Drosophila melanogaster: one gene and its partners. The protein of the gene in region 4 purifies or fractionates together with the protein of the main gene of each other region. This does not show direct contact. Each region holds a gene or a part of one and is shown on either strand. Other genes may lie near its edges.

The links.
Region 1: the proteins of CCT2 (region 4) and Gp93 purify together in Drosophila melanogaster (affinity purification with mass spectrometry, with the first as the bait; one large-scale study listed by BioGRID). This does not show direct contact.
Region 2: the proteins of CCT2 (region 4) and Cyp12d1-p purify together in Drosophila melanogaster (affinity purification with mass spectrometry, with the first as the bait; one large-scale study listed by BioGRID). This does not show direct contact.
Region 3: the proteins of CCT2 (region 4) and CG1416 purify together in Drosophila melanogaster (affinity purification with mass spectrometry, with the first as the bait; one large-scale study listed by BioGRID). This does not show direct contact.

Annotation. Positions count from the first base shown.
Region 1 is NT_033777.3:27,946,796-27,952,662, reverse strand, and holds Gp93 (glycoprotein 93), read right to left. Parts: upstream 3,953-5,867; 5' UTR 3,802-3,952; coding exon 3,762-3,801; intron 3,680-3,761; coding exon 3,590-3,679; intron 3,493-3,589; coding exon 3,410-3,492; intron 3,322-3,409; coding exon 2,069-3,321; intron 1,736-2,068; coding exon 838-1,735; 3' UTR 512-837; downstream 1-511. Other genes in the region: CG4951 (uncharacterized protein), read left to right, coding at 1-188, 249-422; mfrn (mitoferrin), read left to right, coding at 5,353-5,469.
Region 2 is NT_033778.4:11,116,721-11,123,847, forward strand, and holds Cyp12d1-p (cytochrome P450 12d1 proximal), read right to left. Parts: upstream 5,165-7,127; 5' UTR 5,129-5,164; coding exon 5,027-5,128; intron 4,967-5,026; coding exon 4,641-4,966; intron 4,587-4,640; coding exon 4,470-4,586; intron 4,406-4,469; coding exon 3,385-4,405; 3' UTR 505-3,384; downstream 1-504.
Region 3 is NT_033779.5:21,756,442-21,761,535, reverse strand, and holds CG1416 (uncharacterized protein), read right to left. Parts: upstream 3,527-5,094; 5' UTR 3,325-3,526; coding exon 3,177-3,324; intron 3,095-3,176; coding exon 2,458-3,094; intron 2,306-2,457; coding exon 2,170-2,305; intron 1,057-2,169; coding exon 913-1,056; 3' UTR 536-912; downstream 1-535.
Region 4 is NC_004354.4:9,087,853-9,093,353, reverse strand, and holds CCT2 (chaperonin containing TCP1 subunit 2), read right to left. Parts: upstream 3,842-5,501; 5' UTR 3,759-3,841; coding exon 3,756-3,758; intron 2,867-3,755; coding exon 2,177-2,866; intron 2,125-2,176; exon of another isoform or gene 2,055-2,124; intron 1,945-2,054; coding exon 1,317-1,944; intron 1,245-1,316; coding exon 958-1,244; 3' UTR 528-957; downstream 1-527. Other genes in the region: CG6999 (uncharacterized protein), read right to left, coding at 4,109-4,515, 4,589-4,883; CG32706 (uncharacterized protein), read right to left, coding at 5,345-5,501.

The DNA of each region.
Region 1 (5,867 bases), on a different chromosome or scaffold from region 4:
AGGACGAGGTGCTGAATACGTTCGAAAACTATCGCAGCGACTTCGATAAGCTGTTCAAGGAGCGCGAGTTCAAGCCGCGCACCAGTCACTACATGAACATTGCCCACATGGACGTCATCGACATACTGAGCAAGAGCATTCACCAGCAGATGCTCAAGAAACTGGGCGAGGTCTACAGCAGTCGAAGCGTAAGTTTGGGGCGTCCTGGAGTGACACACATATCCATCCTAACATGTCCCGATTACCAGAACCACACGTCGCTGCTGGTGAACGGACTGCTCCCGCTGTGGATAGTGCGCCTCTTTATGGACACATACACGCTGTCCCAATCGGAGGCCGTGCAGCAGATCCGCGACCAGATGAAGTACAACACCTACTTGAGGGCCCTGAACGATGAGCCGCTGAGTTCCGATCTTGACTGATCGAGCAATCAATTCACTTTTTAACTATTTTTTGGTATCCGATTGCGGAAATTTTACATTGCGCGCCATATTAAATAGGCAGTTGTTTTAGTTTTAAATTCATTTGTCTTTATTTGTTTTGATTGGAATCTGTTGTGTACTAAGCATATTACATTGTATAAATACATAATTCACTTGCTTTCGAAAAAAGAAAACGCTTGAGCAACCAAGTGTGCTGGCTGAAATGGTGGAGTGCTCTCTGGGCGACTGGCGGTGATGACGGCGTGGGCGAAGGACTACGAAATTATTTTACTTAGAATCTAGCGTGTAATGTTGATGGAGTGCCCGCCCGGCCACCCGGTGGCGGTTTAAAACTCAGTCTGAACTTCACACTCTTATGTACAATCTATTTGGACAGTGGGTGAGGTGAAGTAGTTTACAGCTCGTCGTGCTGCTGCTCCTCCTCCTCATCATCGGCGTTGCCGCTCTCCTGGCTGCCGGTGGCGGTCTCCTCGGCATCATCCTCCTCCTCCTCGTCGAACTCCACCTGCTCGTCTTGGGAGACACCCAAGGTCTGGCGCATCATCTGCTCAATACTGTCGGCGAACTGCGAAGTCTCCTGGAGCATGTATCCAGACCGCAGGGTGGCGGTGCGGAACATCATCACAGCCATGTCCTTGGCGGTGTCATCGGCCTCGTCGGCCTCCACGCGGCGCAGCAGCTCGCGCATCAGCGGATGCCTGGGATTGATCTCGAGCGTTTTCTTCTGGTTGAGGTAGTAGGTGCGCTGAGGATCGTCGGACTTCTGGTGGGCGTTGGACATGGCCAGACGCTCCATGTTGCCGGTCCAGCCGAAGACGCCGGCCACGAGGGCGCATGGCGAGTTGCTCAGACGCTCGGAAACCTGGGCCTTGGAGATCTGATCCTTGAGTGCCACATCGTTCAGCCACTTGACCAGCGGCTCGAAGGTGCTCTTTAGCGACTCGAAGTTCTTCTTGCTCTTCTCGGACTCGTTCAGCTGGAATCCCTCCTTGGCCACGTTCTGGAACTTCTTGCCATCGAACTCGGGCAGCGCGGAGATGCAGTACTCGTCGACGGCCTCCACCAGATACAGCACCTCGTATCCCTTGCTCAGCAGACGCTCGACGAACGGCGACTTCTCGACCTCAGCGCGGTTGGCACCAGCGATGTAGTAGATGTGCTCCTGCTTGGCCTTCATGCGCTCCTTGTACTCCGCCAGCGAGGTGACGCCCTTGCCGTTGGAGGTCTGGAAGCGGAGCAGCTTGGCGAGACGCGATCGGTTGCTGGGATCCTCCATCACGCCCAATTTGATGCTGAAATGAGTCAATTAAGTCTTGATAAGCAACGAAAATCCAAGAATTCGAGGTTATAGCTAATGGAAATGCTTATTTAACTAAAATAAAATATTTAAGTATAAACTCTACACGTCACCAGTGCCAATATTATAATACTACGTGGATTTCCTTATCTTATCAGCGCGGAATTCTTTAAAGCAACAAACTAAATATATTAATTTGTTGGCAAAAAATAATACACGTCATTCTATTCTCCATATTATAATGGATTCTGCGGAAATGCTTATCATAAATAACTAATTATTTGAACAGGCAAAGAACGTTTCTTAATTCCTAGAAAGCGACACTTACTTGGTGGAGAACTCCTTCCAGAACTTCTCATACGCCTCCTTGTCGATCTTCTTCAGCATATCGAGAACCTTGCGGACCAGCTTCTTCTTGATCACCTTGATGAGCTTGTGCTGCTGCAGAGTTTCGCGGGAAACGTTCAGGGGCAGATCGTCGGAGTCGACGACGCCACGAATGAAGCTCAGGTAGTTGGGCATCATGTCGTTGAACTCGTCGGTGATGAAAACACGGCGCACGTACAGCTTAATGTTGTCGGACTTGGTGCCGTAGCGGTTGAAGGACTCCGATGGCTGCACCTTGGGCACGTAGAGCAAACTCTTGAAGGTCACCTCGCCCTCGGCGATGAAGTGCGTCTGGGTCAGGGGCTCGCTGGAGTCCTTGGTCAGGCTCTTGTAGAAGCTAGTGTACTCATCCTCGGTCACTTCGGCGGGCTTGCGCGTCCAGATGGGCTTGCTGTCGTTGATCAGGGTCCAGTCCCAGGTGGTCTTCGAAACCTTTTTGGTCTTGGGCTTCTCATCTTCGGCCTCCTCGACCTTGGCGTCCTCATCCTCCACGTCATCCTCGCTCTTCTCGGGCTTGGCCTCCTCCTCCACGGGCACCTCCTCCTCGACGGTCTTGCTGGACCACATGCGGATGGGGAAGTTGATGAACTGCGAGTACTTGCGGATGAGCTCGCGCACGGTGTCCTCCTCCAGGAAGTCCTGGGCTTCTTCCTTCAGATACAGCGAGATCACGGATCCTCGCTTCAGAGTATCGCCACGGGGATCCTCGGTGATGCTGAAGCTGTTGGCATCCGACTCCCAGATGTACTGTTTGTCGTCGTTGTGCTTGGTGGTCACCACTACACGATCGGCGACCAAGAAAGCGGAGTAAAAGCCCACACCGAACTGTCCAATCATGTCGTTCATATCGAGTCCCTCCGACTTGCTGGGATCCTGCATCTTGGCCAGAAAATCGGCAGTGCCGGACTTGGCAATTGTACCCAGGTTATTGATCAGATCCTGGTGAGTCATGCCGATACCCGAGTCCATGATGTGCAACGCCTTGTTCTCCTTGTCGGCCTTAATGCGGATGTGCAGCTCCGGATTCGTTTCCAGCTCCTTGCTGTTGGACAGAGCCAATAGGCGGATCTTGTCGATGGCATCGGAGGCGTTGGATATCAATTCACGCAGGAAGATCTCCTTGTTGCGGTAAAGCGAGTTGATAATCAGCTTCATCATGCGGTTGACCTCCGTTTGGAAAGTAAACTTCTTCGCCTGCACGCACAGACAAAAGACAAAGAAAAAAGGGAAAGGAAATCCCGGTCATACGTGTACCTTCCAAATGACCTGGCAATGAACCCACCTTCTCGCGAATTTCCTTCAGCTGCGCCACGTTCAGGCCGTCCAGCTGGATGGCCTCCTCCTCGCGCTTCAGGGTCTCGGCATCTGGGGGATTGGGAATTAGAAAAAGGGGGCGGTTATCGCAACGCTGACGTGTACCAAACAAAACTCGTCGTCGCGAGAGGGGGGCGTGTCTACGTACCGGTGCGGGAGCCCTCCTTGAAGGAGCCCAGATCAAGGTCGATGGTCTCCGTTGTGGCGGCCTCGTCATCGGCGGCTATTTGATTGATGCCTAATCAGACGCGAATCAGACGCCAATTAATAATTAGGTTAAAACACCGGTTCAATGCGGCGTGGCAAATGTGCACACTTACCTGCTAGGAGCAGCAGGCCCACCAGCAAAAAGTACTTCATGATCTTTGGTAGCTTGATTTACGGAGCTCGAGCTATCGGTTCGTCCGGCGAAAGGCCACGTCACGAATAACAGATGCAATAAATTAGTCCGCACTTGCGTCGCCTGCTTTGATTTTTTTTTACTGACGCCGACAAGCGGCTGGAAGGCCTTTAAATGCCTCGCAGAGTGACCGTATTCCGGCGCTGGAACATTCTAAGCGCATTGGAAGGAAATACCAGGGGCTGCACTGGAAATAGGATATATATACAGCACAGAGCACGAAAATAGTGTAATTTAAATAAATTTAATGTTTGCTTATTTGAAAGCCCATACATTCATAGAATCTATTTGGGATTTAGTTTACAAGAGGATGTAGTGTCAAAACTCTACTGTTAAATATATTTAATTTGATAATTTACATTCTTATATCAATAGTTTACAAAAGGGAACACTTAGGCCGGTAGATATATGATTTATATTTGAAACAAATTAGTATCTTTTCATGTATACAACAACTAAGCTTTAAAATAATAAATTCTTCGGTCGGTTGCACAACAACTTCGTGTATATACAATTTTTAAGCTGCCAAAATAGATAACTGAGAACTTATTGATATAGCAAAGTAATGATAAAAATATGAATTGAAATAAAATATAAATTCCTGACAGAGATCAAGGAAATCCATTTCGTTTTAGAATATATAACATATGATTTTGTACCGTTCGGTTTATTTTACAATGTTAAGTTAAATATTTTAATGTTGGTATTTTTATTTGCCATGGCGTTAAGGTTCCGCACCCACATGTGGGTGGACTTGTGCTGGTATTTTCACCCGAGCCATTTTGGTATTTTGCGACGTTCCCGCTGCGGTCACTCTGGGCACGAGGCTTGTTTATTGGGCGAAATTTAATGATTCGCTGTAATCATACAACATTTGCGTCAGTTGCCAAACACCGACCCAGCCAAAATTCCGCTTCGGCCACAAACCGACTCTTATATATTCATAAAACAACCGATCCGCAGCCGCCACTCCAGCAGCAGCAGCTTAGCCGCGAGCAACTAAACCAGAAATTGCTTCCTCGCGTGAATCGTTGAATCGGGGAATCGTCTCTATGTCGTCTGTATGCTAGTCGTGCAACAGCAGTGTCAATTAGCAGTTTCGCATAAGACCACCTCACGCGTACACTCTGCACCACCACCGCCACCGCCGCCGCCTCCGCCAGCAGCACCACCCCCCGAAATACACCCGCCCGTGCGTCCGTGAATCGTCGTGTTATCCGTGTTATACAACAAAATTGCACCAAAAGTGCCCGACATACGCCGGCCAAGAGTTGCCCGCTAACCAACGCCGATCCTCGACAGGCGGAGCGACCCGATCCCAGCGGAGAAAGCGGCTCTGCAGCAGCAACTGCAACAGCGACTTGGCAGAACTGGTCCGGATTAGCAGGTTGTCGTAAGAGGAGCAGCGACTGCAAGGGCGCAACCACAGCATTAGCACACAACACAGTCGATAGTGCAGCCCCACCAGCAGCCTCAACAATCGAAAGCGACGGCAACCGTTCGGATCCACCATGAACATCGACGACTACGAATCGCTGCCCACCACCAGTGTGGGTGTCAATATGACGGCGGGCGCAATTGCGGGCGTGCTGGAGCATGTGGTCATGTATCCGCTGGACTCCGTCAAGGTGAGAGAGACTGCATGGCCGCCTGGTAATCGGAGGAGCAGCGGCATGAACATAACACGACCTAACCTCACTATCAATCGGAATTTTGTGTGTGCCGCCGCTGCTTTGGCATAATCGTGATGTAATTGCCCACGTCTCGAGTGCAACCAAGAGTTGCGTTTCTCATTAAGAGCTCTGGGTGGTATAGCCACATATAGCCGCTCTGAACGCTTATCGTAGCACGTTCCATTGGTTTATGCTTCCGCGATAAGATTAGCCATAGTAATTGGACTAGCTCTTATCGGCGGAGCGTTCTCATCGTTCTTCTGAAAATTCGGTAGGGCCAACCAAGTGCACAAGTCCGCCACTTAAGCGTATGCAAATGCCCACCTCGTAATGACGTTCGCCGCAAGTATATA
Region 2 (7,127 bases), on a different chromosome or scaffold from region 4:
ACGTCACAAGGCTTTCCCAACGCTTTTTCCATAGAATCAGTTGTTGTTTGGGCTGCACAAGCCGGCAATGTAAACAAAACATAAAATATATGAATGGGTGAGTGAGTTGTGCGGGTGTCTGGGTTATTCGACTGCTTCGGCTGAGTGGGTGGCTGTTTTGGGTGGAAATTGGGTGACCCCGATGCACTGGTGTTGGTGCAAATTCGGCAATGCGTGTGCGCTGCGCCTGATGAATGAAAAGTTCGAGTGGCCGCGTGGAAAGCGGGAAAACATCTGAGCGTCAGCTGCACGGTCATATGTTTGATATTATTCCTGTGAAAGCGGAAAATGATTTTGAATATTAAAGGAAATCGATGCGGAAAATGTTTTGGAGTATTTAATAGCCATTAAATGGATAACGTAGATTTTGTCACAGGTTTATAAAATGTAGTTATAGGTAATATATTCACTAAAACAGAAACTGCCTTACACACTTTTAGTATATTGTTTTATTTACTTAAATTACCTAAGTAAATAAAAGTATTTTCAAATTGTTACAAAAAGCACACCCTTTTTTCTATTTTTGTTAATATTTGAATGCCCCACCAATCGATTGAATTTGAAGCCAATTCGTGATTCGGAAAGCGCAGAGTGTCCTGTATTAAATTCAGCCTTGCAGACAAATGCAAAAACCATCGACAGGCCGTGTCAGAAAACACACGAAAATCGAGTGAGCCCCAGAGCAATCGCATTTTAATTTGAATTCTTTCTGGTGAGGCCCTTACAAAAGCCCCCATGCGATGTGCACGACCAAAAAATGAACTTAAGTTTCGGCCAAGAATCTTGTTGAAGAATTTCTATTTGAGCATTTGTCATGTCTTCGCCTTAGTCTATAAAATATACTGTCGGTGGATGGGGACGCGGGGTGTGTGCAAATATGCGAAAGCTAAATGTCAGAGTCAACCCTTTCGCAGGCCATTCTGCCTGCTTTTTTTTCAGCCTTTTCTGGCCGGTGTTGCCGCCTTGGCCCCTTTTTTGGGTGGAAAGGAAAGTTTTTATCTTAAGCTGCGCGCTGACAGGCAGCAAAGCGGCAAGCGAGGCAACACAAGTACAAGCCGGACAAAGAAGCCAGGGGGAGTGGGGATGGGCTGGCCGAACGGAAAATGGGAAATGGAAAATGGACGGGCAACGACAAGGCGGGCAAACGTCAAGTTATAGAAAATGCTAGTGCCTGCACAATAAGAAAAGTGTCATCCGAATTGCTAATCAATGGAATGATGTTGAGGAGACTCAAAAGAAATTTAAAGACCTACTAATAAGAAAAAACTGAAAAATCATTAAGTTTTTAAACTATTCAAACATATTTAAATAATAATTTGTGCAAATTTATTATTGCTTAAAACAACTAAATAAAAATATATAATGTCATTCAAAGTTTCAAAAAAAATTTATTCAATTAAACAAAGGCCATTTTGTATCTTTTCAAAAGTATATGACTTAAAAATAGGTTCATTCATTTTGCTTATGCAAGCTAAGGACTCAGCTTTTTGTCAAAGTGCAGAAAAGGGGAATGAAACTGGTCTTAGAGGGAGAAAAAATTAAAGGACATGCTGAACGCATTCCTTGGGACACGGGCTGACAGTGAGTGATTTGACCATACCCTCATTTGCGTGCAGCAAGGACCAAGATCCGAGCTCTGGGTTCCGGGTTCCGGGGTTCCGACTACCGAGATCCAGGCACACCAATGGATTAATGTGCAAGGATGCGACTCGTCAGGCAGGCCAAGAAAATTACGTCAAGCTACGCAATGGGCCCGTGCCTTTCCCACTGCCCCCCACCACCCCACAACCTAACCAAATCCAACCCAGCCCAGCACAACCCAAACCATTATCCTTTTGGAAATCTGATGATGAGCGCCGACTGCTGCGGGCGGGCGACTCAAAATGGGAGTGACTCATTTACGCGCTGCACTCGAGTTTCAACCGGCAGCCGGCGAAGGAAAAGCGGGACTCCGAGAACTTTTCCAAGCTATTTCTGCGCCCAAATGACAGCGAAATGTAATAATGAAAAACTTTTTCTTTGTCAACTTGATGAGTATGAAATTTTTCACAAAAAAAAAAAAAGAAAAAAGATTAAATAAAATAAAAGACGAGCGGCAAAGGAACGGGTTGAGCTTGGGTGGCAGGGCGGTGAGCTAGAAATATGAAACGTCAGGACTGGTCCTTAGTCTTAGGTTGGCCTTAGTCTTGGTTGGCCTTCGAGATTAGTTATGGCAAAGGAATTTCCAAGCGAAGGCGCACGCAAATGATTGCATGCCGCATTACGCATACGCCCGGTTGTGCGTGGCCGGTTTTAAAATTGAATTTTAATATACAGCAGACACAAAGAGATGTACATGACCATATGTATATGTATATAGCTGATCCCTGGCCATGGCTGCTATAAGCCAGGTTATCCAGCCACCCCGAAAAAACACATGTTCTGCATTTTTACTTTGTACTGGACCAGGACCCACGGTCCATCATCCCTACCATTTTGCTGCTGCACCGCATCGGGGATTGCGGAATTCATAAGCTATGTGCGTTTGCTACAAAAGTGGAATTTTCGCCACGCCAAAGGATACCCGCTTGCAGGCTCCCAGCTCACAGTTCCCACTTCCCGTTTCCTAGATCCTGAGCATGCCATTAACCCACTCGCAAAAAGCGCAAAATCGCTTAAATTATTGTTACAAGCTGCCAGTGCCAAGTGGCAGGCACAGCAACAGCAAAAACAAGAACAAGACCAGGGGGGCAGGTGGCAGGTGGCAGGTGGCACAGGGCAAACCACCTGAGCTTTTGGCCGCGCTTTGCTTTGAGTGCCAGTTAGCATAACTCCGCAGGCCGCAGGCGAATATGTCTGTTGTTGCTGCTTTTGCCGCTTTGCTACTCTCCTGATGTTGGGTGCTGCTCCTGATTTTGCTGTTGCCGTTAGAAGTATTTGTGGCGCGGCAAAGGACATCCTCTCGGCAGCCCGTTCTCACCTGCCTGCCAAGCTGCAAGCTCCAGCTGAAAGTGTCTTTGGTGAGCGCTACCCACCACCTAAATATACAAAGTGTGGGGGAAAAACAAGAAAAATAACAACCTACAATAGTCTCTTCTTTGTTACCTAAAAATATAAGAAAAGCACACCTCGCAATTGTGTTGAAAAAAACAAATTGATACGAAAAAAAGCGATAGGGATGCCACAACAAAGCGCAATCTTATCAAACGTATTAAACATTTTGCTTATCAAAACAGCGAGGTTTGCACAACAATGCGAAATAGGAGGAGGCAAAATTCTTATCTGCATTTCATCAGTCAAACATTTACTGTAATCAAAAATCGCAACTATAAGGAACACAAGTAAAGGCCACAAATGAGAAGCAAATTATTGTTCGATATCCGTGAATTTGAAGGGGAACGTAATGGCCGGTTCCATGACGAACATGGTCTTGAATGGACGGCTGGCATCCCGATTGAACTCCACATGGAAATTGCGAATCAACTTGGCCACTGTGGTCTCCATTTCCAGATCCACCACCCGTTTGCCAATGCACATGCGGGGTCCAAAGCCAAAGGGAAGGAACGTGAAGGGGCTGACCTGCATCTTCTTTCCGGTCTCCGGATCCCTTAACCAGCGCTCCGGCAGAAATTCATCTGGTCGTGGATAATATGTAGCTTCCTTCATCAGCACATTTGAGCCGAGCAGGACAGTCGTTCCCTTGGGCACCCGGTAACCCGAAAGTATCACATCATTTTGGCAGGTTCTCATGGTTCCCAAGCCATTGGGATAGTATCGCAGTGTCTCCTTGATCACAGCCCTCAAATATGGCATATCCTTCATGTTCTCCTCGTTGAGTAGGGAATCCTTTGTGGGCATGATGCTCAAGAGCTCCTCCCGCAGTTTGGCCTGCTTATCCGGATGCTTTGAGAGGCAGAGTAAAACAGCCGACAGAAGCGTGGCTGTGGCATCCACACCAGCGAATAGGATGTCCAGACTCATAATCACCGCCACCTTGGGATCGATCTCCATTAATCTCTCCAGCATACTGTTACTATTTATTTTTTCGCCAGCCTGGCGGCGCTTTTCCAGTGCATCCTGATTTTCCTTCAGCATTTTCTGGGCCACATTCAAACTGTCATTGAGAGTTCGCTTCATTTTCCTGTAGGTGGGCGTCGATATGATCTTCCACATGGAGGGCTGAATGTCTAGCTTAAATGTGAGACGGAAAATATCCCTCGAGGTCTGGAAGAGGGTCAATGCATCGGAATTATCGCGGTTTTTTCTAATCAGACCCATTTGCCGATCGAAAGCCACCAGGCCGAGTGACTCGAAAACAAGCCGGCTTATTTCATCCGTAAAATCTTCGGGGACTTCTAGAGTTTTTGGATCGCGGATTTCCTTAATGCTGCACAGTAAAATGGAATTTATTGCTATATATAAATAACAATTCAATAACAAAAATTTCTTACCGCTCTATAAACTCATTATTGATATTAGACAATGGTTCATAATACATTCTCAAGCCCCTGGGTTGCATAAAGATGGGATTAATGGCTGATCGTAGTTTTCCCCATGCCTCATTTTGTCTGAAATATTCAAATTCAATTGTTTCCTTGCTACTTATTAGATTTTATACTCACGAAGCCACCAATCCTTGAACCTCACCGTAAACATCTGGTCGAACGTGTTCGCGGAAATATACAATGGAATCCAGGCCATCACGACGTGGCCAGATACCCTCGTTGCGGAATACCATCTCAATGTCCTTTGTGTTGAAAGTGGTGACCCAATCCTTGCGGCCAAACATTCCGGGCATTACATAGATATCTCCATAGCGCTTTCGCATGGCACTGGTGTATTCCGTAATCGATGCATTTTGGAATTCACCACCGGGCATGAAAGCCCTCATAAATTTGAATTTGTTGGGCCGCGGAATCTCATCGTAGGTCTTGTGCTCCTCCGTTATCTATAATTGGAAACTAATAACATGATAAATCTATTTCGACTGGATTTTGTGCATACTAACACTAGATTTAGCTTGTTCATGTGCCAAAACGGAGGCTGATCTTGAAGATCGAACGGGACCCACGTAAATCGCCACAGATCGCGCACTGCTCAATGTATTCATTCTATTCCTTTTGGTGATCAACTGCAACTAAAAACAGTTCCACTTTCGAGAACGTTCTTATACCAAAGGCTTATCTCTAAAACGTAGAAAAGAGAGGAGAGCGAATAACTTGAAATGCTTCAAAATGCAAAAATCTCAAACAAAAACAAAAGCCAGCAAACAAAGCATGAGTTTCATTTTCTTATCAGCTGAACGGTATAATCGCCGTGAATTGCCTACCTCACTCAACTGAAAAAATAAACAAATGAACGTGACTGGCTAGAAAAACAAATTGAGAGCGTTGGAACTTACAATAAATACACCTCAGAGAATTTGATACTACTATTACGACTATTACATACCCGTTACTCATTTAGTGGGATCGCTAGAAAAAAATCTAAAATATTTAAATATTTTTTAAAAATTTATAAGGATTCTAGTTCAACGGTAGACAATTTCAAGATAAATAACCAAATTAAAGAAAAATAAAAACAATTCTTAGAGTTGATCCTTGTTCTCTTTGCATACTGATATTTTATTTATTTTTTATTTTATTTATTTACTGGCGCCGCTTTTCCACAGAGTCCTCGGTGTCCTTTATCATTTTCTGTGAGAACATTAAGATGTCATCGAGAAGACGCATCATCATCCGAAAGTTTGGAGTGGAGATAAATCTCCACATTGATGGCTGTATATTCAATTGAAAGGCATATCTGAACATCGTGCTTCGTGTTTTGGAACACAGTCAATGCATCTGGATCGTCTCGATTTCGACTGATCAAACCCATTGGGCGATCGAAAGCCACCAAGCCAAGGGATTCGAAAACCAGGCGGCATCTCCAGAGTTCTAGCATCTCGAATTTCTTTAATGTTGGAGAAAAAGTAAAACTCAGGTGGACATCGAAATATACAAGTATGAATTAATTCTTAGCGCTCAATGAACTAGTTGTTGAACTCATAATAAGTTTTCAATCCTTTGGGTTGCATAAAAATTGAATTGACGGCTGATCGCATCTTGCCCCACAACGCTGCTTGCCTTAAATTATAGTTTCCAAATTAACTTCCGCTTTTGATATACATATGTAATTATTTGGTAACTTACGCGAATATCAGACCCACACTTTCTCCATAAATGGAAATATGTGATCGAGGGAAAGAAATCCTTTTCCGGCCAAGTTCCCTCACTGCGGAAAACAGTCTCGATATTCTTTGTACTAAATGTGGTGACTCAATCCTTGCGACCAAACATTCCAGGCATTATGAAGATATCACCATAACAACTTCTCATCGCTGCTGCATAATCCAAAATTGAGGCATCGTGAAATTCTCCACCCGGCATAAATGCCCTTGCAAATTCCTGTTTTCTGGGAAGTGGAATGTTCTTATAGGATCTCGCTTCAGTGACTACACTATCGGCTACCTTAATATCCAGATCACATATGTATGTTAGTGGAATACCCGATTGTGGTGATAGTATTTCAACTCACATTGGCCAAAATCTGTGCCTGACTAGAAGATGCCCTCACAAGCTGAATGGATTGCGCATTCTGCGCAATACTCATAGTTAATTTTATTAACTGCTTGCCTAAAATGACAACTGAGCTGGGAAGCCTGCCAAAATGCTTATATAGCATCGCATCCCAAGAGGAATAACAAAACGATTCTCTACAAATTGAAAAGCTGCAATCCAGCATGACTCCTAAGAATTCCCACCATCACAGTGATAGAAAGCGAAATTATTGCCGTAAGTCAAGAAAGCTTGATACTGCTAAAAAAATATCAACCGCTCATATTCAATATAAGTATGTTATTGTTCAGACATAGGCTTATATGCTCAGTAGAAGATATGTTTTATTTTGATTTCTGTCGGAATGCCTTTTAGTAACATCCTTTAGTAACATCTCTTTAAACAGCGAGGTTTGCACAACAATGCGAAATAGGAGGAGGCAAAATTCTTATCTGCATTTCATCAGTCAAACATTTACTGTAATCAAAAATCGCAACTATAAGGAACACAAGT
Region 3 (5,094 bases), on a different chromosome or scaffold from region 4:
CGATTGCTTTTAAACTATTTGCGAACGACTATTGATACTGGTACACACATATACATATATTGATATATATACTTCATATTGTCGGATACCTTCTTCTTGATACATACTTTTTAAATAATCAATTATACTCTTTAGCTCAACGAGTAACAGGTATAAACAGAGATGCTATGGCTTTTTCCGTTAGTCTTTTTTTGTGTCCGTTCGTATGATCGTCGGGATCTTGGGAACTATAATTATATTCCAGATATATATGACTATAATGGACATGGCTATATTGATTCGGCTGTTGATACTGATTACGAATACATTCACGATCGGAAACACTCACTTAAAGATTTTGGCGGCGTTCATACGGACAGACAGACAAACATAAAGAAATCGGCTTGGCAAGTGAACCTGATAAAATGGAATGGAAAACTGTTTCATTATGTGGAGCAAAATTCCTCCTTTTATACTCAGTGCCACCTAGCCCATGCTTTCCCCTTCGGAGTAAGAAATGGTATGAAAATCGGAAATCATAAAAATATAACTTTTTAAATTTCAGGCTTTTAAAGCTTTTTATGTCCTTAATAATATAACAAATTTATTATTAATATTCAATTCAAAATTATAAACATTTTGTTTTAAATTATTGTTTATTGTTTCTCAATGTGTGAAATCAATGTCGAATGCCTGAATTGTATTCGATTTTTTGTAAGTAATGTGTTTTTTTAGCGAGCCGCGGACTTTCCAGTTCGATCGATATACCTAAGAGGATTTGAAAAAGCCTCTAAGGATAAACAGAAATTACAGTTATGATTGGAAATGAAATTCTCGCAGTACTCTAGGTTGAATACAAATAATAATCCTTCGATAATCCGCCATACACCAAGCCCTCAATCATTCAGTGCAATCCGCACTAGAAGCGTCCTCTTATAAGGCATCAGATATTGAGGTACCGAATCCAAAGGTCTGTTTGATGCTATGCCAGTAATATCGGTACCAGTTTGTCTTCATCGCATCAAATTCGGACGCGGGTATCCCGGTCTGCTTGAGCGACATCATTGTGCTGGATGACTGCAAGGAGGAAGCGTTATATTTGAGGTAAATATTATTTTGGGATAGCACTGAAAGCATCATTCTCCGAATGTATAGCGAGTAACGCTTACAAATTAAAAAAAAAAAAACAGGCATACAAAAAAATCCTTATTGGTTATAGTCAAGTCAGGAAAATTAAGCTTAAGGAAGGATCGCAAAACTTAAAATTAAACAAGGAAGAACGCTATAATAGAGTTCCCCGACTATAAAGAAATAAATTAAGTACAAATTGTGTGGTCGTCACTCTGGGAGTATTAATAATATATTTTAAAAATGAGATAGGTAAAGATGAATATGCTGCATTGCCTCCGAAAAGACGGCTGACAAACGAACATCGTCCATTAAATTTACTAGTAAGAGGTAAATAAAGTACATTTCCTAATTATATATATTTGACGTTCGATAGAAATTGGAACGGCAAATAATAACACGAAAAAAATTCAAAACTTTTTTCAAAATTCATAAGGACAGACAAGGCTAGATAGATTTGGCTACTGATACTGATCAATAATACATATAGCGTCGGAAAAGTTCACTTCATCCTGTTAAATATTCTTCAACGAATCTACTAGACCATATTTCTCTACGGGCATACAGAGTTTTTTATCCGTTTCATCCTATTTCGCAGAACCCTTACTTCAGGAATTTATTTTTAGATTAGATTCGAGCTTTTACATCGTTTTTAACCAAATTTGCTGGTTTCCATCATATAATGTAATTAGGTATTAATAGGAATTTAACCTGAATGTAAATTTCAAAAATGTACTAAACCAAAATCATTACATTCATAAGTTTAAATCCGACGTATTGTAACGAATTTAATTTTTTTCTTAACCAATAAATAATAAATAGACAAATCACAAAGTTATTTTTTTTTCATATTACTATTTTCTTTGTGCACATAAAATTTTGTAAATATTTCGAATTTAGAGGCCCGTAGGAATATGGTCTTATACGCGTTATTTATTGACTGATAAGGAGTACTACATTCTTTGAAAATTATATCGTATATTGTTAATCAGGATCACTAAGCGGGTCAATTTAAAAAAATAAATAATAATATATCTAGTTTTCGTTGTCCTAGTAACTTACAGTTTCTTCCAGCTCTATGACAACGTTTGAGTAGTGACCAGATGTCCAGTTTTTCAGACGCCAGCTCTGCTGTATTTTTTTTTCAGGGACGAGCTCTTCGAATTTTCCGAGCACATTGCCTCCGTAAAGAATAAATCTACAATAAAAGACAAAAGATTACTTACCATAAAGAAGTGAAGACAAGGGCGAGGGGCGAAATTTATGGTTATTCATAACAAGATTACTAAATGACGACACAAACGGTCCTGATGTGATGGTAAAATAAAACGACCAGGGACAAAAACTTACTCTCCACCGCGCACGGCATCTACTTTGGCAGGTGCCCTCGTAAAGGCAGTGACCATTTCTGGCTTTGTGAGAGCGTTGTAAAGGTCATTGGCGCTGCAGTGAAATTCTTCGGTCATCGAGAGAGTGCGAACGTCCAGTTTACAGCCGATGCCAGAGTTCTTCAGCCTAGGAGCCGCCACCGAGGAGTTTAAAGCGATATTTTGGGCTGCATTACGGGTATTGTTGGCATCCTTAAAATTCGCCACAGTATTTCCCGCTCCGGCCTCGTCGCCCTTCTTTGGTAGGATAAGGTTCTTGGAGTACTCCTCCTTCAACTCTCGGATGTAGGAAGCCAGTTGCTGCCGCACGCGGTCTCGTCCCACGTTGTACATGAACTGTTTCAGGGTCTCCGACTCGTCGTTGGACTCGTCGATTGTCACCGTGATCTCTACGTCGGCTAGTTCGTTCTCCTCGGAGAGATTGGGAATGGTTAACTTGCCCTTGTGGATCAGCTTGCTGTTCTTTAGGAGCTTTCCAGACCACTTGAGCACCAGCTCCCACTCGTAGAAAAATATGAGCTTGCCCTTGCGATTGTTCACGGTGGCCTCCCCGGAGCATTTGTCCACGGAGTCCACGGCACACTCAATGTCGCTTTGCCCTGCGTTTTGAGAAGTTTACTTTTAGGTTAGGATATACCTAAAATGTATGTTCTACACTACTACAAATTCTTATATACTCGCCTATTTTGAAATCCTGAAAAAGCTGATGCAGGCGGTCCTTGGACCATGGCGTGGCGTTCTTTTCCGTCCAGTGCCAGTTGTTCACGTTGGTGGCGTCGGGCCGCTCCTCCACAATCCAGCGCGGATCTCCTTCTCCCCACTTGGCCATCGCTTTCTTACTGTAGAATTGTATGAAACTGTCTTCAATTTTATGAAAAGATGGAAGATGTTGGTTTACTTTTGATCCGGCAGTCTTAGCTTAAACTAATTCGGACAATTACTATGGCCAGCGAGTGGAATTTTCTAGAATTCTGCGGTTCAAAATAGGGATGTAAAAATTATCGATGCCAGTGCACACATATGTTGGCAGCGTTGCCACCAAGTCCGAGGTGTTTGTGCCGTTAAAAAAACGAAATGATGTGTAAATTTCCTGACGATATTTTAAATGGAGTTATGACGAAAGACGTATTCGTTCAGTGAATTTTTTAACAGATTTAAAATGGACAGTAAGTATTGGTGGTATTGTATTTTTTTATAACAAGGTTGTTTTAATGTTATATTTTTATGTACGTCCAAAACTTTAAGTTTATGTTTTTAACTTGTAACAAACAATTTTCGAAATGGTAATAGCCGATTCCCGCAAATCACACCATAATGGATGTAACAAAGTTGTTTTACAGCTTTTCAAGCTATTTGTCTTGAAATAGATAAGGTCTGCTCTAATCTCTGAAAAAGTGTACCCCTAAAAATATTTAATGTATTGTTGCAAGTAAATAATTAGCCCTAATTTTTTTAGTTCTACTGATTAAAAAGTTCTTACGTTTGGTTACAAGATGCAGTGGCATCAGGATATTTTAAAAGTGGCCACACAGAGCTCGCGTAACACCCAGCTTAAGTCAGCATGCACTTGTTATTTTTCAGTTGTTTACTCAACCGATAGCTGAATTCAGCACATCCCTAGTGGAGAGCTGAAAGAAAATGGCGATAGAATTTTTTTGGTGTTGATTTGTTTATTATCCGTTCGTCTTTGATTGTTCAATGAAAAGCCTTAAAAATTAGCCAACTGCTGGTGAAAAATGTACAACTAGAGTGTGTGTCGTGTGCGCGAGAGTGTGTGTAGTAGCTCAGTAGCTCCGCGATGATTAGCGCAATGGACAATTTCGACAACAGATCGTACGGTGCCATATCAAAGGGGCGCAGTGAATTCTCAATGCCAGGTAAACAGCAGATACTTTTGCTGGCCCGAAGGATATAGCCTAGCATGAACAGAATACGAATCTTTGTATTGATAAAATTTTATTAAGATCACAAATTGGGATACCCACAACTACAAAATAAGAGAAGCAACAAGCAACATTTGTATGTATAGACTTGTGTGCTAGGTGAAATGTTAGTGCACATATGTATGTATATTATGTACATATGTACATTGCGTTCTCGTTTTTGGCCTTCGTCAGAATTAAGTCCGAAGAGCTTTGGTAACGCTAATAAGCCAATTTGCACAATTAGCAATCCATTGTGGTTTCGACAAGTGAAAATTGTTTATCGGCCTAAGCTAGTGACGTAGCCTACAAGATGCTTTCATCGCATCGCAAACAGCTCGTGTATGCACGTGTGTATGTGTGTTGGGCGCGTGTGCCTGGAATGCTGCTCTGGTGTTTTTTATTTTTACTGTTGGTGTTGCGATACAATTTACAAAATGCCCAGAAACAAGTATATGAATTTATTATTGATTCGCATCTCGTTCTTGCAGAACTTACACCGGAGCAGCAAAAACTGCTGATTGAGCTGCGACGCAAGAAGCAGGAACTTTTACTCGAAATACAGGTAATTGACCATCAATATATACATACATTTTTAATTTTGGAAACAACGATTTAAGAACATATTCGTATACACTTGTAGTATACAGAAAAACAATTTCGTGATGTCTTTTTGT
Region 4 (5,501 bases):
ATTTTCCTAAATCCTTCAAAATGTGACATTGGTCGTTAGCATTGGTAACTAGCTGCTCAAAACAGTTATTCTTTCATTTTTACGATCATTTTTAGCCAAGTTATGAGGAAAATTCCGTTTGAAAATATCAACATTTTGGCAAAATCCGTTTTTCCGAATTTCGGCCATCAAATAATCAGTTTTTTTGCCACAAAATTAAAAATAATTGTCTGAATATGGAATGTCATACTTCGTTGAGCTCGTAATTAAATTTCCAAACGAACTGAGCTAAAAAATGGCAATTATATTTTTTGGCCATTTTTTGTAAATTTTGATGATGTTACCCCTTACAAAAAATGAGAAATTTGACCAAAAAATTAATTTTCCCAAATCGGCTGAAAAGTGGCGTGGGTCGAAAACATTGGTTCTCCAGTGCTCAGAAATGTTACTCTTTTCGCTTTATGATCATTTTAAGCCAAGTTATGTTTAAAAAAAGCTCATAAAAATTCGGGAAATAATTGTGGTCCAAATAAGAAGGCAGTTTGTTTAGTTTTGTTAAGCATAAATATATGATTTATCATTTATTCCTTTTTTTTTTCTGTTTAATGGTCTTCAATTTGCGCACATCAAATGTTTACAACAATTGTATTCATTTACAAGTTCGTTTAGTTGTCGGTTTGATGGAGTTTTAGACATTTTTGAAATGTTTTGGTTTGATCGCAGCACTCATCCTCGAATCAAAAGCTCAGCTTGCAACATCATATCAATTTGTTTCACAATTAAGTAGAAGGATTACACGACAGGGACAAATTTAGCGAGAAATTGTGCGACTTTGAGAGTGGGACGTGTGATATAATTGCTAATGTGTTGTGTGTGGATTATTAGTGTAGTAAACAGAACGTGTAAGGTTAGCGATGATGTTAAACGAGAGTTCATAATTAAAAAAAATATGATCCTAGAACAAGAATACTTAAGCGCCTAGCAGTAGCCCCTGTCGGGAACGCGTCGGCGTGGAGCGCAACGGATGATGTTGTCCACGCGCAAGATCATCTCGGCAGCCTCCGAGGCGGACATCAGAACTTGGCGCTTAACGGCGAACGACTCGGTGATGCCCAGTTCACGGACATCGGCCACCTTGCCCAGCTCCATGTCCAGACCCAGAGTCTGTTTGCCCTGGGCGTGGCCGGCACGCAGCTCCGAAACCAGTTGGGCTGAATCGTAGCCAGCATTGTCGGCAATGGCCGTGGGCAGGGACAGCAGAGCGCCTGTAATACGAATAATAAAAGCATTTCATTAGGAGCCATCTCCAGCATATGATGTGGATTTCAGCGACTTACGGGCAAAGGCCTCGATAGCGATGGCCTCCTTGCCGGGTGTCTCGGCTGCCTTCTTCAGCACGGCGGTGGCCATTAGAGCCTCGGAGCAGCCGCCACCGAAAATGATGCGCGACTCCTTGACGGTGGCCGCCAGCACGCAGAGGGCGTCGTGCAGGGAACGATCAGCCTCGTCCAGAATCTGTTGGGTAGCACCGCGGATCACGATGGTGCAGGCCTCGCCCAGCTTAACGCCGCTAAAACGCAACAGCGTATCCTCGCCGATCATCACCTGTTCGATGACATCGCATTCGCCAAGCTTCACCAGCGAGGGATTCTCAAAGGTGGAGACAATCTCGCCGCCGGTGCAATACGCCAGACGCTCGATGCCATCGAAATCGGCATGCTCGATGGACATTACACGGGCATCGGCAAACAGCTGCTCCGGATAGTTGTAGATCAATTGCCGGTTGATGAACACGTTGCACTTGTGCTTCAGGATCTTGTCCACCTTTTCCTTCATCTTCTCCTTCTCGGCCATCTCCAGGTCGGCGATCTTGGCCAGCGAATCGACCTTGATGCTGCTGCCGAACACCTTAATCTTATCGGTGTCCATGGGCGTGTTGGCAATCAGGATTCTGGCATTCTCAATCTGCGATGGAGAAGAGCACCCATGTATGAGATCATGAGATTCTTTTACTTGGTCTTGAAAGACTCACTTGCACGCGCAACATTTCCACGTTGATGAGGCTGGCTGTCCAACAAACTCGTCAAAATGGCTGTGATATGAAGTCAAATCCACATAGCTCACAGTCATTTTGACGCGTTAATAGACAGCAGAGGTAGACGATGTTTAGCACGATGGAACTGGAAACATTACTTACACGCTGTGGCTGGTGCACGCCGGGCTTCTTGTCCAGCAGGAAGCCCTCGTCCAGGAACGAGTCTCCCAGTGTGCCGCCCGATTTCTTGATGATCTGTATGGACTTGAGCTCGCCGGAGCCCTTCAGACGCATCACAGCATCCACCGCCAGATTGGCGAAGAAGTCTTTGTGCTGGTGCAGGATCTTCGAGGAGAGCGTGGTGCGGGCAATGTTCAGCAGGTCGTTGCGGAACTTCTCGTCACTGGACGAGTTGTCCTGAGCGGCGGCGGTGAGCGCCTCCAGTGCCACCTGGGTGGCCTGACGCCAGCCAGAGACGATGATCTGTGGGTGCAGCTTCTGTTCGACTAGTTTCTCCGCCTCGCGCAGCAGTTCCGATGCCAGAACGGTGACCGAGGTGGTGCCATCGCCCACTTCCTCGTCCTGCACACGCGACATATCGACCAGAATCTTGGCGGCCGGATTGTCTACACCGACGGCACGCAGAATGGTGGCACCATCGTTGGTCACCTCAACATGACCGGCGTTGCGTCCGGTGGCCACCAGGATCTTGTCCATACCCTTCGGACCCAGCGTGCTCTTTACCAGATCACCAATGGCGATGGCACCAATGAACGAGGACAGACGGGCCATCTCGGCCTTCTCCTCCTGCGCCTCATTCTTGAGCACGCGCACGGGATTCAAGGACATCTCCTGCAAGACAAAACGCGATCAATTGGTGTGAATCATTTCGATTGATTGTATAAATTTTCTAAGAAGGGCACATTTCTTGAGACTTAATTTAATTACAAAAATGGCATGACTTTTTTTTAGCGTAGATCTTATGGAGGATTAATCATCAGAAGCAAGTAAAGCTAATTCATAATTACTATTCATGCAGGAAATTATATTATAGCTTTTTTTGCGAAATAAAATTTTTTTTTTAACATTTAATAATTTAGCATAATGAAAAAGTGATATGATGCCAAGATGACATTGCAAAACACCATTATGATATTCTCATCGACAGATCAAGAATGCTATCTTGACAATGGCAGGCGGCTGCCCAATATGTTGCAATTTCTGGCGAGGATTGTCTGTTGGCATGGCCAAATCCGCAGTCACTGCAAACCAGATGCGTTTGTGATGCGAAAATATTCAAAATGTATATGTATTCTATGTCAGATTGTTATGGTTTTTCGCTCTGTGCAGCCATATCGCCTCGACCTAACCCCAAAAAGTGGCGGACGAGGGAGAGCGGCGCCGAGTGATTCATCGGCAGCAAAAACGGCGTGGAATGCATCTCGAAGGTTCTCAGCCAGCTGCCCGAGCCGATCCCGGCCAGCAATCTAGTGATAGCTCCAATTCACCCAGATCCCGTGGACAGCAGGAGAAGGTTCTGGAAGTGGCAGGCGAAATCGGAGTCCATGGCTCACGTGCAAGCCGCCTGTCAAAATGGCTTGCGCTTCGTTCACACACACACCCGGCAAATGAAAACGCCGAATTGGCCACAATTATCAATGAAAAGTGGGCGAATTCACGCAACGCCAATAGCCCGCACCGTAAACTACTCGAATAATATAGTTGTTACTTTTAAATTTACCATTTTCTCTGCGTAATTAGTCGATTTGTGATCACAGAATTTTCAAATACCACACGGGCGCAACAAAGCGACAAAGAAAATGGAGACAGTCGATGGCTGTTATCGATAACGCGCGGCTATCGGGTAGAAATACCGACAACGGAAAGGTGCTAACGCCTGCATGAACTTAAATACCAAAAATAGTGTTGACACAAACCAGCACTCGAAAGTTTTGCAGTTATCGATATGCAATGCAGGGGCGCTTATTTCAAATAATTTTGCGCGCCTAAATATTAAAAGATTTTGATTTGATTTACTTTATTGAAGTATATTTGCAGTCAGGTAGACATTGGAAGCAAAGGTCTAGCGTGAACTCAGGCAGACTTCTTCAATTTCTTGGCAGCCATCTCCGCTTTCTTGGCAGCCATCTCCGCATTCCTGGTAGCCATCTCCGCTTCCTTGACCTTCTTCATCTTCTTCATCTTCTTCACTTGCTTCTTGAAATACTCCATCTGGTCGGGATCGTACCAGAAGGTGGCCCGCTTGCGGGCCTGCGACCATACGCGAACTTTGCAAACCGCCAGCTCGTAGTCCATGCGATCGGTTAGATAGTACCACTTGAAGCGTGGCAGGAACTTCATTTTCCACAGCAAGCCACGGAATCGGGACGACTTGCCATCGGTTATAGGCTTATTGTTCAGCTCTAGAGCGATTTTTTTGGCCCCACTTTTCGAAATGAACTCCACCCAGCCCTTACGCATGTTCTTCTTTGTCTTGAAACCTAAAGTAATTGAGATAAAAGTTTATACTGGGTAATCAGTGGGTCATTTGTGCATGCCACTTGGTCCACTCACTTGACAGCGTTTCCGGCTGCACGTAAACTCTGCCGACGACGCTGTGCAAGTTCATGATTTCCTTCAGGCAGTCCCCGTCCATGTCCTTGGGTATGTTGGATATTAAGATGACGCCTACCTTGTGCATCTTCTCGCGTTTCTTCTCGGGGGCCCAGGAATTGAAGGTGGCTTTGAAATTGGCCAGCTCCTTTTTATCGTCATTTGAGGGATTTGCTATCCCATTTGCAGACTCACCTTCCTTTGTCTGCGGCTTACCCCAGCGCGCCTCGTCTAGCTTAGTCTCCTCCACTTTCATGGAAGTGGACTTGCGCTTTGGCTTTGATGTATTAATTATTTTTTTCATTGTAGCTTTCGTTTTAGCTGGATCGAATATATTTTGTAATGTACGCAATCAGGTATGACAGTTGACAGGCGATGTCAGTTGACGTTTTTATCGAAGAGCTATCGATGTGTTGGTACCCTTTCATTAGAAAAGCATATCGCTTTAAAAACACTTTGTAACAGAACATTTGATTTACTCAGCCCTATTTTAATCGAGAAATCTTAACCATCCCTGTGCGTTACAGTGGCCTCCTTCAGCTTGAGTAGCTGAAGTAGCATTAACACGCACACACAATCGGCGAAATTATCGATATGCAGGGGCCCTAATTTCAAATAATTTTGCGCGCCTAATTATTTAAAGATTTTGATTTGATTTACTTAATTGAAGTATATTTGCAGTCAGGTAGACATTGGAAGCAAAGGTCTAGCGTGAACTCAGGCAGACTTCTTCAATTTCTTGGCAGCCATCTCCGCTTTCTTGGCAGCCATCTCCGCATTCCTGGTAGCCATCTCCGCTTTCTTGACCTTCTTCATCTTCTTCACTTGCTTCTTGAAATACTCCATCTGGTCGGGATCGTACAAGAAGGTGGCC